Linked DNA regions of Canis lupus familiaris. The protein of the gene in region 2 interacts with the protein of the main gene of each other region in a pairwise test. Links are inferred from orthologs where the notes say so. Each region holds a gene or a part of one and is shown on either strand. Other genes may lie near its edges.

Region 1 (3,400 bases), on a different chromosome or scaffold from region 2:
TTCGTGAGTGACTGGAACAAGCTTATTGTTACTCCTTGAGAAAAAACTTATCCTCCCTACAATGGACAGCAACTCTGAACCCTTATTTAACTATGAAATGTAATAAATTTAAGACTGGATGAAACCTAAAAGGTGGTATTTCTTTTATACAGTAGATGATAAACTTATGGAAAGCGGTATTTAAAAAAACAAAGCGTGAAAACATATAGATGGGTTCTGGATTTAGGGCGACCTAAACATGACCCTTCTACTTTGGCATATACTAGAACAACCTGGGATGCTTTCAGAACTAATACAGATACCTGGGCCCCACTCCACAGAGTTACTGAATATTTAATGGTAGGTTCTGGGCACACGAATTTTTTAAAAGCTCCAAGGTACTTCATAGGCACCTTTTCAATAGCTTGGCAGGTGATCTTCATGTGCACCTACATCACATCCAAGAATCATTGGTTTAATCAAGAGAAACAATTGGGTTAAGGAGGTTTGGTCATATATTTTCCCATGTTCTCGTAGTGCATGTTTTTGAAACAGAAACAATACTCAGAGAACTGATTTGCCCTGAATGACTTATAGTGTTTATAAATAGTATTCTTAAAAGCAAAAAACAAACCCTCTTCCCCACCTTTCTACAAAACCCTCCTGCTGCAGGAAGTTGAGTTGATTTAGGGGATCAGAAAAGAAAAAACACATATATCCCAAATGCCACACTTGGTTTTTATCTAAAAGCTTGTCTGTTAGCCTGGCTTCTATTTATTTATAAATTTCAAAACAGAATTACTTAAGTAAATATATATTTAACGAGGTACAATATTTACAGCTTACAGATTTGACAACGCAAAATTATTCACTTAACGTGTGAAAAAAGTTGACATTTTAGTATACAATAGCTCAAAAATTGCAAAAACAACCTCACCTCAAAAATATTTTACACCAATTTTCAAAAGTGCTATCTTCACAGGCTCATTGTATGTCAACAACCCAGTTAGGTCACCAAATCTCCACGCACGAAGGAACCAGTAATCATACCCAGAAACAGCACTTTTCGTACCATTGTAGAGGGTGTAAAAATCTTGGGTCTTGAAACCCTATAACAAAGCCCCTTTTACCCTCCAGTCCTGTGACAGCAGATCTTGTAGTTCTCCCTCATCATCGCTGTCAATATTCTCCTCTTCCTTTTTCTGCAGTTCCTTTATAGTCAGAACCTCCTTAAGCTTATTTTTTATTTCATCCTGGCGATTCCGAAGCTTTTCCACCCGACGGTAACATTCTATCTGCTCATCGATCTCCCCAATTTGCCGGTCCAACCGTCCCTCCTCATCCTCTTCAGCAACTATGGCTTCGGAAATGGTATTGACTTGTCTCATGGCCTTCTGAAATTCGTCCCACTCTTTGTCCATTTGATCCTTTGGGGCGTCAACCTTTCGTACCCTTGCATCTATCTCAGGGTCGTCAAAAAAGCCTTCTGGTAATGCTTCCGCTGTGTTTTCTCTCCTTTCCACTACTTTTTCGTGTATTTCTGCTTTTTCAATTGACCCTGAATGGGGAATTAAGGGGGCCTTGGGGGGATTTGTATCCGAGAAACCGCTTGGCAGCATACTACTTGTTGCCTCCCTCGGGGAGGAAAGCGAGTGGTCCTTGCCCTGTGCGTCGGGCGGCGGCTTGCTCGAGTCCCCTCCTTTCCCTCCTCCTCCCTCTTCCTCTTCCTCCTCCTCCTCCTCCTCCTCATCCTCATAATCAGGGAGTAAACCGAGTCCCGAAGCCTTACTGAGGGTCGCTCTGGTGGATTCCTTCCCTGCTTTGTCAAAGTTGGTGGGCAAAGCGGATGTGGAGGGTTGCACCTGAGGCAGCGGGGAGGCCTTGAGTCTTTTGGCATCTTGGCCATCGGCGTCCGGCACCTTCCTCTTGGCTGACTGAGGCGCTGCGCTGGAGGACGGTCCCTGGGTGGCTTCCCTCGCGCCTTTCAGCTCGGCCACTTTCTCCCGGTGCTGCTTTCCCAGAACGTGGGTCTGCCACAGGAGCTCGCTCTTCACCGGCGTATTACACAGGGCGCAACTCAGCTGCCCCAAACGGTTGTACTTCGCAAATGGAGATTCTATCCGTTTCCGGTTGGTGCTGAGACGCTGCTTCTCCTTCATCAACCGCCGCAGTTCGTCCTGATTCACAACTCGCTTCCCCGCGGGAGCGCGAGCGGAGGCGGAGGACGCCATCTTGGCGCCCCGACCCGAAGCGATTGCGGCTTCCGTGCGGGCGAGGCCTGGCGACGTCACTTCCGCTCCCGGCGAGGATTGGCTGAGGCTCCGGCACGGGCTTCCGCTCGGGATCCGGGCTGAGGCTGCCGCTACCTGGCGGGTGGCGCGCCGGGTGGTGCGATGGCTGCGGTCCAGGCGATCAACTCCAAGGCTGAGGTGGCGCGGGCCCAGGCGGCCTTGGCCGTCAATATCTGCGCCGCCCGAGGGCTGCAGGATGTCCTGCGCACCAACTTGGGGCCCAAGGGCACCCTGAAAATGTGAGCCTGCGGGGCGGTTGGAGCGGCGGTCAGGACCCGGGTTGGCCGGCTGCCGCGGCCCGCCCCGGGCACACGTTCCGCCGAGAGCCTGGAGCCGCAGGAAGCACCGTGGGCCCGTCGTCCTCGTTGTCACTCCTGCGCGGAGGGCGCCCGTGGCCCGGGGCGGGTCCGTTAACGTTCCCGTGCCCCTGATCTGGTCCCTTGGAAGCGCCAGCCGCGGAACTCCCCCGCGCTTTGACACTGTGTGTCTTTACTTGGGGATTTGTGGGGCCGTGTCGCAGCCCTAAGGGCACAGGCCTTGGGCCCGGCAGGTGTGGGTCCACATCCAAGCTCCCTTCCAGCTGTCCGCCCCTAGGCAAGTTGTCTGAACGCTCTGTGCCCACGCTGCTTCCGAGCCACCCTTTCAGCGTCTCTCCGTAGCATCACCATCTTCTTTAGAAGAGTGAGGAAAAGAGAACAAAAATGTTTAGGACAGGGAGAGACGTTCTAAGAGGAGTAAGCAGAATTCATATTAACGGTAAAAGAGGGCGCTTGTCTACTAACCGGATGCTGGGCACCCAGGTGATGAAGGGGTGGTATGTATGTATGTGGCATCTAGGCCAGGAATCCTGTGATAGGACTGAGGGAGAAGGAGAAGCCTCCCAACAGGGTTTTTTTTTTTTTTTTTTTTTTTTTTTTAAGGCTTTGTTTATTTATTCATGAGACACAGAGAAAGAGAGAGGCAGAGACACAGGCAGAGGGAGAAGCAGGCTCCATGCCGGGAGCCTGATGTGGGACTCGATCCTGGGTCTCCAGGATCACACCCTGGGCTGAAGGCGGCGTTAAACCGCTGAGCCACCCGGGCTGCCCTCTCAACAGATTTTTGATCAGAGCCTTGAAAGATAAGTTAGA
Region 2 (4,065 bases):
TTTTTTTAACGATTTTATCTATTTACGCATGAGGCAGAGAGAGAGGCAGAGGGAGAAGCAGGCTCCCGGTGAGAAGCCTGATGTAGGGCTTGATCCCCACACCCGAGCCAAAAGCAGACAGATGCTCAACCACCGAGCCACCCAGGTGCCCCAAGTTTGAACTTAAATACTGTTTACTCTGCAAGCCTTCCTGATTTACCCAAACACTCCATCCCCTGTGCTCTCACTGTTTTTTCTGCATAACTCGATTGTCACTGTTGATCAGTGGTTTTCAAACTTTAGCGTGCACTGGAATCCTGTAAAGGGTTTGTTCAAAGCATACACAGCTAAGCCACATCTCAGTTTCTCTCATGTCTGGTGGTGGGCCCAAGAATTTGCATTTATGCAGGTTAACTGTTAGTGCTGTATTGAAATTGCACTTTGAGAAACAATAAGCAAAACTACATGCTTCTGGAAAGCGAAGGAATGCATCCTTTTATGTTCTATGTTTTAAATAGGGATAGGGATACAGGCCAAGTTTGAAGCTGTGTTTGGAAAGAAGAGAGGATAGGCAATAAAACATTTCCACTGCACCTAGCATAAAAAGAGATAGCAGTTGGGACAAACAACTTGAGCTTTACCGGTTATTCGGGTTACTGTTTTTTTTTTTTTTTTTTTTTTGTCTTTTATGTTGAAAATGCATTTTACACCTACTTTCTCCATTGCCTCTTCACTCAACTAATCTGTCACCCGCTTTTTACCTGGTAGCCCTTTTTTCCCTAGTATGGCAATAGGGATGGATTGCAAATAGCATGGGGAAAATTTTAAGGGCGTTGACTATGCTTATCCGGATTTTGGTGATGGTTTCACAGATGTATGACTGAAAACGTATCAAATTTTACACTCCAAAATACGTGCATGCAGTTCATCGTATGTCAACTTATACCTCCATGAGTCTGTTAAAAAACAGTTAAAGCCGAGCCCCGCATACTCACAGCGTATGTTTTTATCAACACTGCTTTTTTTTAGGTTCGAGAGAACCGCCAAGTGTCCCCGCCCCGCCCCGCCCCGCCCCGCCCCCGACAGCACCTGCCGGCCGCGTCCTTGAGACCCGGTCCCGACGGCCGGGTGCGTTCTCCGAGCTGCCCGCTAGGGGGCGCGCGCGCAGGCGGCGGCAGCCCCCGCGGTCCGTCGCTCAGCCCCAGCGCCCGCGCAAACTTCCGGTCCTGCTCCGCTCCGCTTCCGGGAGACGCGCGGGCTGCTGTGCGCGCCCCTCCGAGCCTGCGGAGACCGAGGCGCAGGGCGGGCCGGGCCGGCGGGCTCCTGCTGCGCGGAATTGGGCTCACCGCCGCCCCGGGCGGGCCTTTCCTCCCCACCATGGCGGCCCCTGCTCAGCCCAAGAAAATCGTGGCCCCGACGGTGTCCCAGATCAACGCGGAGTTCGTGACCCAGGTGCGCGCGGGCGAGTGTGGCGTGTGTGAAAGGGCCGCCGAGACCCCCGAGGCCTGGGGGCGAGGCTCTCCCTGGGGTGGGCGCTCCCGGGAGGCGTTCGTGCGTCCGTCCGTCCGTCCGTCCGTCGGCTCACGGGCCTTGACGGAGCATCTGCTCCGTGTCGGCGGCTGCAGGGGGCGCCGCGGAGACGCGTGAAAGAGGCCGCCCTGCCCTAAAGGGCGCGGGTTCCGCGGAGGAGAGACGCACGCAAAGAAGGCTCCTAAGCGAGCTCTTGTGTGTCGGACTCTGTCGCGGAAGCGGCGGGTTCGCAGAAAGAAACGGACCCCAGCCTGAGACTGGCAAGGCTTCGTAGCGGGGACGGGGCCTGCCAGACCGGGGACGAGAGCTTGCCTTGGCCGTGGAGCAGCCCAGGCCTCTGAGGGGGGCGACGGGAGTCTGGCAAGGCCCCGCTCCGGGCGGGCGCATCCGTGAAGCCCGCAGCCGTGGTGCCCGAGGGCCTTGGCCCACACCCGGTGACGGCGTTGCGCGGGGCGGCGCGGGCGGCCGGGAACAGGGAAGCCCAGCCCTTGGCCCCCACAGCGGGCGGGTGTCGGCCGAGTGCGGCTGCTCCCCGCAGAAGCTGTTACCCCATCTTCTTTCCTCTCTGGCCTCTGCCTCCCATTTGCCCAGGCAGAAGCCTCAGGGCCGTTTAGAGCCCTCCCTTCCCTTCCTCAACCACTCCGTGTTTGCCTCTGAACGTCTTTTAAACGTATCTGCTTCTGTGTATACTACGCGTGCTACCCGTGTTGACCGCCTGGACCTAGGCATCCTGACCTGTCTGGTGGTCTTTCCTCTTGCTCTTCTCCTCCCCGTTCTTCATATTGCTGCCAGTGACTTCACACAGATGCAATTCTGACCGTATCAGTTACCTTAACATCTTTATGAAGAGTTCTAATTTGTCTTGGGATAATGACCAGGATCCTTTGAAGTATTATGTGACCTGGCCTGTGCTCGTATCCAGTTTCCTCCCTCCCTCTAACTCTCCTTTAGCCGTACCGAACACATTTATATAAATCTGCCGTGCGGTCTTTCACCCCTTGGTCTTTCATCGTTGTTCAGAATCCTCATTTCCCCCCACTTTCCTTTATACGGTTAATTCATTGTCACCCATCTATGACATCACTTTGAAGAAGCTTTCCTGACAACTCCCTTTTCTTACATACCGGTGTTTTTGTGGTTAAAGCTGTTTATCAGTTTCCTTCACCTAAAGAGCTTACATTTTAGAGATGACTCCGACAAGTTAACAGTTTCAAACAGGGATCAGTGCTATCAGAAAAATGAGATGGGGTGTGTGAAAGGCAGTCAGGAAAGTCCTCTCTGACGTGACATTTGATCGAAGACCTGAATGCAAAAAAGCAGGCAGTTTTGGGGAAAGTAGGGAAACAATCCAGGGAAGAGCAAGTGCAAATGCTTTATGGTATGAATACAAAGGCCAGGATTAGAGACAAAAGAAGAGGGAGAATGGTAGGAGATGAGTATGTACAATGAGGTCTTACAATTTTAGAGGCAGAGATAAGTTTGGATTTCATTCTCAATCAGTAGATTTTAATTGCGATCCAGGGAATGATATTCTAGAAGGAATCCTCTGACTAATCTATGGAAACTGGGTGGGAGTGCGAGAGCAGTAGTAGGGTTACCAGTGACTCCAGGTATGAGATGATGGTGGCCTCTACTCTTAGAGTAGACTGATAGATTTTGAAGCTACAGGCAGCAGGACTTGCTGATTGATTGTGGAAGTTTGGAGGAAAAGACAAATAGGGCATATCTTGAACAGCTAGGTGAATGGTTTGGACATTGAGAAAGGAAAGGAGAGGGTTTAGTGGGGAGTATCAAGAGTTCTGTTCGGGCCTTGTTACATGTGAGATGCCCAGTAGACATTCAGTTGAAAATATTGAGAAGGCAGTAGAATATGTGAGTCTGGAGTACCTGAGCAGGTTCTGGGCTTGCATGTAAGTTTGACAATTCAGTTTTTTTTTTTTTTTTTTTTTTTTAATGCTACTGTATTTGGTGTCCTTTTTGTCTTTCAATAAAATTTATTTTGAACGGTCTATGCTCTCTTAGCTATAGTAAATGGGAAATGGAGAGAGTTTCTGTTTTACATGAGCCCGAAGAGTGTGGGGGAGGGCAGTATAATCCTGGAGGTAGTAGTGTGTGAGAGGTCATAGGTTAGACCCCATGGAGAAGCTAGATCAGATATTTAAAATAAGCAATTTGGATCAGAAAATAGGATTTACATATTTGATTAGAAGATCCTAAATCCATGAAAACAGATCAGATTCAGTTCTCTTAATGGTATGAGGTAAGTAAAAGATATCTTGTTAGTGTGTGGAATGAGGAAATGAGGAAACCATAGGATAGTTTGGAGAGTGATTGATAGTTTGAGAAGGTGTGACATAAGTGAACTGTTACTGTTTTGGAGAGACTTCCTCGGGGCCAGTGTCTTCACTGCTTGGGAGGCCCTATGAGTGTACTTACCGTGATAGGTAGTTAGCTATAGAAGCAAAGGCAGGAGGTTCATCTCGTTCCGCTTAGGTGGACAGGAAGGGTGATAAGCAATCAAATGATGAATAATACGGGAAGATAAGACTATAATAG

The links.
Region 1: the proteins of AQR (region 2) and ZNF830 interact in a two-hybrid assay, tested with the Homo sapiens proteins (2 studies listed by BioGRID and IntAct, with this or other methods). The link is inferred for Canis lupus familiaris from reciprocal best matches to the Homo sapiens genes AQR and ZNF830.

What each region holds. Positions count from the first base shown.
Region 1 is NC_049230.1:38,350,070-38,353,469, forward strand, and holds ZNF830 (zinc finger protein 830), read right to left. Parts: upstream 2,258-3,400; 5' UTR 2,211-2,257; coding exon 1,089-2,210; 3' UTR 561-1,088; downstream 1-560. Other genes in the region: CCT6B (T-complex protein 1 subunit zeta-2), read left to right, coding at 2,373-2,509.
Region 2 is NC_049251.1:2,945,502-2,949,566, reverse strand, and holds the start of AQR (RNA helicase aquarius), read left to right. Parts: upstream 1-1,225; 5' UTR 1,226-1,356; coding exon 1,357-1,431; intron 1,432-2,244; exon of another isoform or gene 2,245-2,595; intron 2,596-4,065.